Xenopus tropicalis: one gene and its partners. The protein of the gene in region 2 interacts with the protein of the main gene of each other region in a pairwise test. Links are inferred from orthologs where the notes say so. Each region holds a gene or a part of one and is shown on either strand. Other genes may lie near its edges.

Evidence for each region.
Region 1: the proteins of trim59 (region 2) and zdhhc22 interact in binary tests that used the Homo sapiens proteins (3 or more experiments, as listed by UniProt). The link is inferred for Xenopus tropicalis from reciprocal best matches to the Homo sapiens genes TRIM59 and ZDHHC22.
Region 3: the proteins of trim59 (region 2) and nrm interact in binary tests that used the Homo sapiens proteins (3 or more experiments, as listed by UniProt). The two-hybrid records come from large-scale screens. The link is inferred for Xenopus tropicalis from reciprocal best matches to the Homo sapiens genes TRIM59 and NRM.

What each region holds. Positions count from the first base shown.
Region 1 is NC_030684.2:82,642,882-82,647,030, forward strand, and holds the start of zdhhc22 (palmitoyltransferase ZDHHC22), read right to left. Parts: upstream 2,836-4,149; 5' UTR 2,537-2,835; intron 1,040-2,536; 5' UTR 945-1,039; coding exon 443-944; intron 1-442. UniProt on the Homo sapiens protein: Palmitoyltransferase that could catalyze the addition of palmitate onto various protein substrates and be involved in a variety of cellular processes. Catalyzes the palmitoylation of KCNMA1, regulating localization of KCNMA1 to the plasma membrane.
Region 2 is NC_030681.2:114,755,557-114,758,811, reverse strand, and holds the end of trim59 (tripartite motif-containing protein 59), read right to left. Parts: intron 1,870-3,255; 5' UTR 1,867-1,869; coding exon 673-1,866; 3' UTR 548-672; downstream 1-547. UniProt on the Homo sapiens protein: E3 ubiquitin ligase involved in different processes such as development and immune response. Serves as a negative regulator for innate immune signaling pathways by suppressing RLR-induced activation of IRF3/7 and NF-kappa-B via interaction with adapter ECSIT.
Region 3 is NC_030684.2:75,536,931-75,541,105, reverse strand, and holds the start of nrm (nurim), read left to right. Parts: upstream 1-1,340; 5' UTR 1,341-1,397; coding exon 1,398-1,575; intron 1,576-2,329; coding exon 2,330-2,529; intron 2,530-3,656; coding exon 3,657-3,833; intron 3,834-4,175.

The sequences.
Region 1 (4,149 bases), on a different chromosome or scaffold from region 2:
ATGCCATCATCATCATCATTTATCAACCCAAGAGCTTTAACATTAATGTACAGACCAACTGACTCCATTATATTTATTGCTATATATCCCAACAAACTGTTCATGTAGTAAAATTCTGTTCTTTATGTGAACTTTTAAATATGTAAGCATTAGAAATGTAATATGTGAGGGGAAATATCTGGGGGGAAAATTGTCTATATTGCATTAATGCCAGGTAAATCTGTATGACGGAGCATGTCTGGATTAATATGAATTTTGGGTACAGGTATTGAAGTGGTAGTTTGTTTATCCTTGTGCTTTTGTGATAACCAGTACAAAAGAATATAGTATTCTATTAATTACATAGTTATCACTTGATAATCATGACCATTGCAATTAATGGCTACTTGTTTAAACCCCAAATATGTTTTGTTCACTGGCTAAATATGTATAAAAAACTAACCTGAGAAAAATCGAGTAATAGAGAGAGGCAGCAGCCTTAGGAAGGTCATAGGATCGTATAAGGAGAGAGAGATGCTTTCTGAAATATATCCCACTCCAACCACCATAGCATGAAAACAACTGCAGGAAGCATGCAGGCAAAACAGAACAAAGCTACGAAGATTGCTGCGTCCTATACATGTTCCTGTGAAAAAGCAGTGATGTTCCTGTTCGCCCATCACCCGGGCACAAAGATGGCAAAATGGTTTTCCTGATAGCTCAGTTTCTGCATACATTGCATTGCCATGAGGACTCTTCCAGATTGTCAGTATATAATTTCCCAACACATTGACAAGTAAAACAACAAAGAGGGAATTGTGAATAAAACCAGAGAAAGACAAGGTAGATGAAGTTTCCCCACTTATGCCAGGAAGTAGTAAGAAGAACTGAATGGATAAAGTAACTGATAGCAGGCAGAGGAAATAGAGTGGAGCCAGAAGATTCAGCAGTTTAAGAAGAACCATCCTGATGAAATTTTGTATCTAAGCATTGTTGGTATTCTGCATATTTAAAAACTGAAACTAAGTCTGTTGCACGGTAGCATAATTCATCGCTGTTCCTGAAAGAAGAGAAGGTACAGGTACTGATTTCGTTCTGTGTTTGCTGCACCACAATACTATAATGAAACTAGTCAGGAAAGGCACTCATAGGTACTAACAGTGAGACACTTGACACCAAAAAAAGTATATGCAAACTGAACATCTCGGTTTCCATGCCTGGTTCAAAAGAAAGGAATTAGTTATAATGTGATAATTCACAATATAATTACATTATACCCTATATAAAGTATGGCTTAATGGTTTCTTTTAATCTATATATTTTAATTACTTGCTATAGAAGGTATTATATATTCTCATTCTTACTAGTATGTACTTCATCGGTTTCACACATACAGAAGGGTGTAATAAGTATTACAGTGCAAATTTACCTATTATGCCTGATTTCAATTTTCTTATGACTTTATGGTGCAGTTGTGTAAGATTACTGCTTGCGTTTGCATATTACCAGAAATACACAAAGTTTTCTACAACTCCCTTTTTCAGCTTTTGCTCTTTCCAACAACTGTACCCTCGTAATGTTATATATAATTCCTTGTGCACTTGTTGATCTTTTATGCTGAACCTTATACTCACATCTCTGACCCTCATTGTTTCTACACCAGCTTATCTTCCCCAGTAAAGAAATGATCATCTGGTTTAGAAGTAATGAGGTATATATATATATCTCAATGTGCAAAGAGATTAGCTGGTAATGAGGGATGATGTTTTGTGGCAGATGATATGATCTAGAGTACAGGTGGTACCAATGTGCAAAGAGATTAGCTGGTAATGAAGGATGATGTTTTGTGGCAGATGATATGATCTAGAGTACAGGTGGATCCACCTGTACTCTAGATCATATCATCTGCCACGAAACATCATCCTTCATTACCAGCTAATCTCTTTGCACATTACTCATCTTTCCCTATACACCAGCTATTCTCTCCTTCTCACCTTATACTCTGCACACCAGCTGATCTTGCCTTACCTCATTACTTCTAAACCAGATGATCTTTTCTTCATTCCCAGCTAAACAACTGGCCCCTTTCTACTGCCACACCTCACTCAGTCTGTTCCAGTTGACCCTTTCCCTGCATATTTCTTTATATGGATTTCGACTAATACCTTACTGCATCTTTTCTGTTTTTTTAAGATTCTAATTTCCTCTTTCCTGCTACTCATCCTTTCAAAATAAGTTATTTTCCTGCAGTACTTTCTATACCATCTTTGTAGTGGCCATCTGTCACTTTGCCTCATCTCTGTCCACAATACATAACTTCTTGTATACTGCCTGTACTGTCCCTCATTTTTTTTTTACTTTAAAAGCCCCATCCACTATTATAACAGCTTCCTAATTCACTTTATGTGCAGCCTTTTCTTCTCCATTGTACATAGTTTTTTTGCCCAGTGCCTATTAACTGTATTTTTAACCCTCTTTGTTGATTTAAATATGAGCGATCCAAAGACATTGTAGCACATTGCCTTTCCTTAGCTTACCACCTAATACATATACTCACCCTTGTTAGTGACGAATCCAAGGATACAGAGCTCAGATCAACAGCCAGTGGCTGTGATGGGTTCAGTGTGTGCACTTCTCTCTCTCTCTCCCTCTCTCTGTGCTTCTGTCTTTCTAGAGATGCTGCGGATTAACCTTCACATCCCCTTCATGCCTCTGTCATAGCCACACAGCTCTGATACTTCTCTTGGTACTTGCTTGTGCTTTGCTGGATATCTTTATGAATGACTTTTCTCACTGGGTGATGATGATATGTTTGATGCAGTGGTTGCTTCCTGTGGTTGTTAAATGTTAGCTAAGGTATTTCCCTACCCCCTCCCTCCTCTTTTCTCTCTCTCTCTCTCTTTCTCTTTCTCTTTCTCTCTCTCTCTCTCTCTCTCTCTCTCTTTCTCTCTCTCTGTATCTATCTATCTATATATCTATCTGATCTATATTTTCTGAATGTAATGTTGAAGATTTTAGGGGGTGGATGCGTATGAGTTATATCTTAAAAATCTCTAGTATAACATGTTTCTGTTTAATGTTTGCTGTGTATATTGTTAAAGGGTTTTTTAATACTTTATGTGTTTGCAGTGAGTTATTTATTTGCCTTGAAACTCAGGTTTATTCAGGTTTTACATGCTTTTTAATCCTAAACCTATATAAACAAACATGAATACAGAACAAATGTATGCAATCAATGTCTTGAGAAAGAAATTAATGCAGTGAATATGAGATGAACTACTCAAGAGACTTATCAGATAGACATATCTGTCCCATAAAATATTGCCATGCAATTAAATACTACAGGGATGCTATGACATCTGATATTCCATGCTGTTATCAGATCAGATAAGATCAGATGCAGCTAATAATATTTTATTTTTATGCATTTACATCCAACAGTAAGTGAATTTCAGTTAGAAACAAAAGTGTATCCATCTATATCTTATTTCTAAATATGTACACTACACCCGTCCCATGACTTGTGGGGCGTGATCTATTAAAACAGGGACATACAGTGCAACAAAAGCTTCTGTGTAATTCAGCCTTTAGGGTAATGACAAATGTGGATATTTGTTGTCTGTGGTAAATCTAGGCTACCACTGGCGACAAATCTGAAAATAATAAAAAGAATACCTAATTTCTTTGTGATTTGAAAGCAGAGTTAAAAAGCAGTAATTCAATCGATAAAGGGATTTGGGTCCTAAAACATGTTGTGCATAAAGGGCCAGATTCAATTTGATAAGAAAAACCTATCTCCTAATTCAATTCCAGATTTCCATGATCTGGTGACTATTTATCAGATCAGTAAAATCTGATATTCAGCTGTGTTTAAGAGAATCATTTGCATGCAGTAAGTGAAAGCATTTTAAGAATTCATAACCAGGCCCGGATTTGTGGCGAGGTCACAAAGGCCTGGGCCTAGGGCGGCAACAATTTAGGGGCGGTATGCCGCCCCGCCGCACCAAAATTCTGAAATTTGCTGGCATACGGAGCAATGGGGACCTCTCCCCACTTCTCCGTATGTGAGTATAAATAGACGCGGATGCACCCTGCCAGCGGCGGGGAGGGGGGTGGGTCGCGAATGTGCATAACTTTTAGTATGATGTTGACAAGTAAATTCTCAGGCAG
Region 2 (3,255 bases):
TTGGCCACCTATCCCTTGCTGGCTTCTAGCAACAGTACAGGCTTTCAAAGGTGCTAGGGTAGATTGTGGCCATTGAACCTATGGATAACAAAGCAAGAGCAAAATAAAAATAATACATTCACGCCATAATATGTCCATTATAAAAATACAAAGGAAATATAAACCTTACATTTGAAAGGTTAAAGATTAACAGTAAAACATGCAATATTGTGTAGGAAAAAAAAAATCAATGGGTTCAACAGAAATTCTACAAACGTCTAAATCAAGAAACCACTCCTACAAAACTGAAATAGTAAAATGATTTCTTATTCTTCATAAAATTAGTTTATAAAAGTTTATAAAAGTTATATATATAATATTATATATATATATTTAATCATCCTGATGACGATCCTATGAGGGTCGAAACGCGTTGATGCGATGATTAAATAAAGAAGAAATCTTTTTACTTTACATTCTGATGCCGTGAGTGCTTTCTACAAACCTGCTGTCTATTTTTTGGTCAGCACCCGGCGAGTGCCTCTGGAGCGGTGAGTGCCGATTTTACTTGGACTATATTTAATATTATATATATAAAATTATATAAAGAGTATCTATAGTTTAAAAAACAAAACAAAATGCAGCCTGCATTCATACAGTTGCATGTGTTTAGAAAGAATCATTTAGTTGCGCTCACAACAAACGTGATAGCCAAACTTCAGAAAGATGCCAGCAGTGCAGTGCGGCTTCCCGAATGGCACACGTGGCGCTGCTCAAACCCTTCCTAACAGGATCCATGATTTCAGAAAGGTACGACATGTACCTAGAAGCAAAATAATTTAACGTGTTGGTGTCGTACAACCAGATAGCGAACATTAGTACAAAAAATAAAGTCATTATTAGTAAAATACAAAGAACTGTCCATTTATCTTGAAGCATTCGGGATTTTTTGGGTGTTTCGAAGCACAGATTTATTGTTGGAGTTGGCACCAGATTGATTTCACCAAGTCTAGCTTTCGCCCATTCATTATTTAGAAACTGCCTGACTCGAGGGTAGATTGCAACTGGGTGGACAGTGACAAGTTCCTGCTTCTTTAGAGCTTTCATCCTTTTGCGTATGTTGTGAAGGCTTTCCAGGAACAGCAGAGGGGACGGCTCTTCCTGAACGGAGCTGCTCAGAGAGATGAGATCTAACTCTTCATCTTGAATCTGCTTCATCTCCTCTATCTTTGGAGCATACACCTCGACAATCTGTCGATTGAGATCACTGAGAGCAGCCAGCATATCTTGCTTCTTCTGCTCCAATGTCTCATTCAACCGCTCGAAACAACTTACCACCTCCTTTTTATCATCCAAAACAATCTGTTTACAATAATTCATTTGTTCTTCTAACTTCTCAATGACGAAGGAGACGCCGATGAAGTGTTTGTCAGTCAGAATGTGGAGATATTTCGAGGCAGTCAGCCGCTCTTTTAAGTAGGCACTTTCTGGATCATCGATTGCATGCCCTTGGTGTTGCCCTACGGTAAGGCACTGGCCACAGATTAATTTTCTATCTCTAAGACAAAATAGGTTTAAGGGCTGTTTGTTGTGTTCGGGGCAGGTGGCTGCTTTGAAGTGGTTTTCACTTTTGTACTTTTCAACAATGGATTTCAATGCAAAGTTTATGGGTAGGGCCAGAGTTCCCGACATTGTTAGTTCTGAAGTGTTTCGGCACGATGGGCATTTAAGCCAGGCAGCAGATGTCCTCCACAGACCACTGCCTGAGGAATGTATAACTTTCTCAAGACAATTCCTGCAAAACGTGTGTGAACATGGAAGGATTCGCGGGTCATCAAAAATATTATAGCAGACTGAGCAGGTGAGTTCATCTTCAAAGTTATCCATTGCCTGTGAAGAAAGTTTGTATTATTAAATTACACTGTGTACATTGCAAATAATTCTACCAATTAAAATTGTATTCTGAGCTTGAGTCTGAGCTTTCAGAAGGAGCCAGCGCTACACATTAGAACTGCTTTCAGCTAACCTATTGTTTCTCCTACTCCCATGTAACTTGAGCCGGGCTTGGATTTCTTACTATTGAGTGCTATTCTCATACCTACAACTAGGTGGGGCATGGGAGCATTTTTAGCAATACAGGTGTCAGGTGCTATCTTGCTACTTTTCTATTGTTCGGCTGATCGGCTGCTGTTGGGGTGGGGGGTGATATTACTCCAACTTGCAGCTCGGCAGTAAAGTGTGACTGAAGTTTATCAGCGCATGGTTGGGTGACATGGTTGGGGGCACCGGGAAAACTAAGAATATGTCTAGCCCCTTGTCAAATTCCAAAATTAAATATATTAAACCTGTCTGCTCTTTTGAAAAATGGATTTCAGCGCAAGATTCTGCTGGAGCAGCATGGATGCATGTTTTCCCAGAATCACTTTAAGATGCACTATTTCCACTTATATTCCCATAAATATGTAGCTACATTTGAAGATAAAACAGACAAAATGTATTTATTTTAATACTTATCACCTCAAGAAATGAAACAATATGAGCACCAGGTTACTGAAAGATCGTGGTCATTAATCCTAAATTTAAAGGCACTCTTATATGTGAAGGGCTCCGGTTCAGCACAGAATGTGATGTTATGTAAAGGACTGTAATTGTCCATAACACATGGATGTGCTTCCGGTTCTGTAAGTTAAACAGATAACCTAAGGCAGGGGTCTCAAACTCGCGGCCCGCGGGCCATTTGCGGCCCTCAGTACAATATTTTGTGGCCCGCACCAACGCCTTCGCAAAAGCAATGAATGGATCGCGATTTTTATTGCGATTCAAGGGATAATGCAAGGCACGGCGGGCGGGAGCTGCTGATTGCGGAAATGACGTTATGCCATCATAACAGTTATTATGGGAAGACGTTCTGTGTGCACAATTAGCTCCTTAGTTAGCAGCTAATTGTGCACACAGAACGTCTTCCCATAATAACTGTTATGATGGCATAACGTCATTTCCGCAATCAGCAGCTCCCGCCCGCCGTGCCTTGCATTATCCGATAATGCAAGCCTTCATGGACTTTTTTTTGTGAAATCCCTTATGCGGCCCAGCCTCATCCTGACTTTGCCTCCTGCGGCCCCCAGGTAAATTGAGTTTGAGCCCCCTGACCTAAGGGGACCTGTCACCCGGACATCAAAAACTGTATAATAAAAGTCCTTTAAAAATACAATATGAAACACAAATTAGTTTTTTTTATTAACACATCCAAACATCCCTGCTGTCAATCATATGATG
Region 3 (4,175 bases), on a different chromosome or scaffold from region 2:
TAAGATGCTGCAAACTGGAAGCTTTGAGTGGATTTTTGGAAATGTCATCAAAATTGCTAACTTTAGAAATGCTTTGTGGCTTGGTACTTTGAAGTAGAAAGACATGGGTACCCATTTTAAATTCAGGGGAATGTGTACTTTCCAAAAATATATGGCTTTCTGGGATGAGCATACTTCATACTAGTTTTATTCCACTTATAATGATGTAAATGTGTTGATTTTGCAGGAGCTGGAATGACAGAAGTGATAGATCATATGGGGGTATGTTCACATTGGGGCCCCTACATGCCACATACTTAAGTAAACCTATACATATTTGGCATCAAACTATTCAGTGGACCCCTGGCATTCATATTTAGGGTGTTTTATTTGGTTACTTCATGACCTTTAGGAGATAAGATACTATAGACTGGAAGCTTTGAAGCGATTTTTTCAAAACTTCACAAATTTTGATAAAAACCTACAAATTTAGGAAAGCATTGTGACTTGATAGTTTGGAGTAGACAGACAGTTGTGCCTACTCTGTATACCCCAGAATCTGTTCTTTACAGAAATGTGTAATTTTCTGGGATAAACCTTCTGTTAGTGGAATTTTTGGCCTTGAAATCTAAAGTATGCAGCTTTCTGGAGCAGTGCTTTGGAAATTTGGTAGTGTACTGCTGGGAGTTTTTGACCTATACAAGTGAGAAATCTCCATAAAACTATATATATTTGGTATTGGTGCGTTCAGGAGACATGGGACTTTCCAAATCAGTTGTATTTTTGTGCATAAAATAATTTTTGTTTCTGGTATGTGATTTTTTAAAATTTTGTAGACATTTAGAAGCCTATATCTTGTTACAAAATTGGAATTACACCAAAATTCTACCAAATTTTGAAAGCTTAGTTTGTCCAGAAAAAAACGATATATTGTTTTCCTGGATAAACTAAAAGTCCCCCAGAAGAAAGGCCCCTAAAGTGCAAAATGTTCAAAGACTGTCTGGTAGTAGAAGTTCCAGTGAAAGGGTTAAAGAAACAAATTTACAAAAAAAAAATACAATTCGCCCAACGTGGGGCTCGAACCCACGACCCTGAGATTAAGAGTCTCATGCTCTACCGACTGAGCTAGCCGGGCTGCTTGGTTCAAAAATTCCACTGAGTATATTTAAGCACAAAAGCCAAACACTAATTCCTTTTTATTTGTTTGTTAATATACTTTTTCCACTGACGTTTACAGATTTCACAGCCTCCCTTCCACACCAGCAAATATGCTGAAAAAATGTACTAGCCTAACAGGGGTAGCAGCGACTTGTATAATACAGAAAAGAACCTGGTGACGCAAACAGGCGTGGCGAATTAGTATGGGGTAGCCCAAGTGCATCTGGGCGGGGCAATTACGAGGCGCTGGTTGCTTGAAAATGTCGGCGAATCTTCAAGTATCTGGACAGGTGTCCTCTGGGCCCTCGGTTCTGTCTTGCATTGTTTTATCGTCGGCCTCTTTGTTGTGTTTTGTGGCTGGATTTGGGACAGGGGCCGAGTTCGTGCGGTTTCTTTCATTCGGCGCTATTTTCAGGAATATCAGTGGGGGCCTAGATGGTGAGCATAGCCGGGTTATAAACTATGAAAAAGTGGCGGGAACTTGCTACAAAACACGATAAGGGAGTTTGAATAAACCAGGGATGAGATCTCACAGTTTAAAATGCGAATTGTACGAAAGGGATAGTAGTTACAGTGACTGTTTCACTGGGAAAGGGAATGTGATAATGATTTGGCTACAGCTCAGCTGTGTGCTGCTCCAAACACAGACAAATGTGCGTAAATATGGTCAGGCAATATTATCTGTTTATTATGCCAAGGCCCAAAGATTTTTCACATGAATTCCTTTAAAAAAAAAAAAAAAGGAAACATTAATTCACTAAGGGTGCCAATATGTTAGGTGAATTAAATTACTAAATTGCTCTCCTTTTCAGAAAAACCTTCTGTAGCATTGCCACATTGTCTTTTACTTGATTTTCATAGACTTAGATTTGTGCAGTATAGTGAAAATGTCCACCTTTAATTTACTCTACATTGGCAAGTGTAAATAAACAAGGAACTTCTGGGTAGGTCAGGTACAATTGCGGCTTGGTGCTCCTATAGAAAGTTACTTGGGTTAAAAAGAAGATTGCACCACTGCTTGTAAGGTGATTTTTGCCTGAAAATAGTTTAGTGCAAGAAGCACTGGTGTTAGTACTTTTAGGCAATTCTTAATGCAGGGCATAACAGAGGGCATTTTTGAGAATTCTGGATTTAAAGTAATTGGATGGGCTAAACACCCTAAATCAACTTATGCATTTTGTTTTGTTTTTAGGTGAAACACCAATAACATGGAGCGAAGCAATGAGAAACACCCAGTTTCAATACTGTATTGGGATTGATATTGGTCTTCTTGTTTTATTTGTACTCCAACACAGCATAATGGCCTGGACAGCAGTGAAGGAAAATGTGCTGCATGTGTTTGGTGTTCTCCAGCGTTCAATATATATCCTATGCACTGCCCTGTCTCTCCAGGTAAAACGTCTTCATGTTACTGTGGAGATTAATGGCATAGCAGCAGGCAATAATTGGTTTTACTCCAAATAACGGTGACATCCAAAAGATCTAGTTAAAACAAGGCTTTTCCTGAAATTTATATTTTTCAGTCAGCAGCACTCAGGTTGTTTCAAATGTTTGCCACACAGTTGTGAACAAACCCCAAAATAGAGACTATACCTATCTAAGTACTAAAGGTGATCATACCCTGATCATCCTCAATGGTATCCTACCAGCTGATGTTCAGATGAATTGGCCACTCTATTTATATTGTAGATGACACATTTAAAAAGCACTTTAAATAGATTTTTTATTATTCATATCTACCCAGTGGTGATTACGTTCTGAGGGCCCTTCCACAGAAGAATTATGACTCTTGATGAAACTTACTATATGTTGCTTTATGCAAGCCCATATATAAAGTGTAATAGAACTCAACAGTAGTGAGACTTTATATGTACAATTTTTCTTTTTAAAATGTACCTATTTATACTTTATTGCTTTTTCAAATCTTTATGTCCATGCAAGTCTGAAAGTTTTTTAGGCACTACTGAATTTTTTGTTAAAGGAGAGCTTACCCTTTCATTTTATCTTTATGATTGCATATATTAGACATAATATTAATATCAAACAGTGCCTCATCTTTGCTTCTACTTCATATAATAAGCTGCATGACTTCCATGGAGACCTTTTTAACCCCAAACACCAATCCTTATTACTTTGTTAATAACCTTGCTCCTCTAGCAGGCTAAGGGGCAGATTTTTCAAAATGTGAGTTTATAACTTAATACATAAAAACCCACCCATGTTCTATGCATTCATATGGGATTTTTAGAAGCTTATTTATCAGTGGGTGAAAGTTAGAACTCACCATTTGATAAATACCCACAGGAATGAGTAGAACATTGGTTTTTATGTATAAAGCTGCAAACTTACGTTTTGATAAATATGCCCCTAAGTATTTGGGTCTATTTTGGACCAAAAGTTCTTATTGCTGCTACCATGTATGCACACAATTTTCAGATTTTCGTGGCCTTCAATTTAGCAAGGGATTTTAGTTTATTACACCAGTGTAGGCTCTTGTACCTACATAATTTTTCTTCCAGGTGCTGATGAGATTCTGGCAGCCCTGTCCACAGGGTCCATACCTTTGGAATGTTTCTGCTGGTCCATGGAGTGCATGGCTTGCTTTACTCTGTGCTCTCTTGCACACAGTATCGTGGCTCCTTATATTCAGTGTTCTACTCATCTTTGACTATGCAGAATTGATGGGGATCAAACAGGTGAGTATGTGTTTTTCATACATAATAAGCCATTGATTTTCAGACTTTAAAGCAGAACTAAAGCTTAACTAAATAATTAGGCTAGAAATGTTGCACGTTATGTTTTGGGCTTCTGTACCAGCCCAAGGCAACCCCAGCCCTTTAGCAGGGAAGATCCGTGTCTCTGAAGATGCCCCAGCAGCCCTCTATCTTCTTTATACCTGATTCACTGGACATGTTCTGTCCTGCTGTCAGTTACTAAGCTTAAGGACTGACCCACAATACACCGTATATACAGTCATATGAAAAAGTTTGGGAACCCCTCTTAATTCTTTGGAGTTTTGTTTATCATTGGCTGAGCTT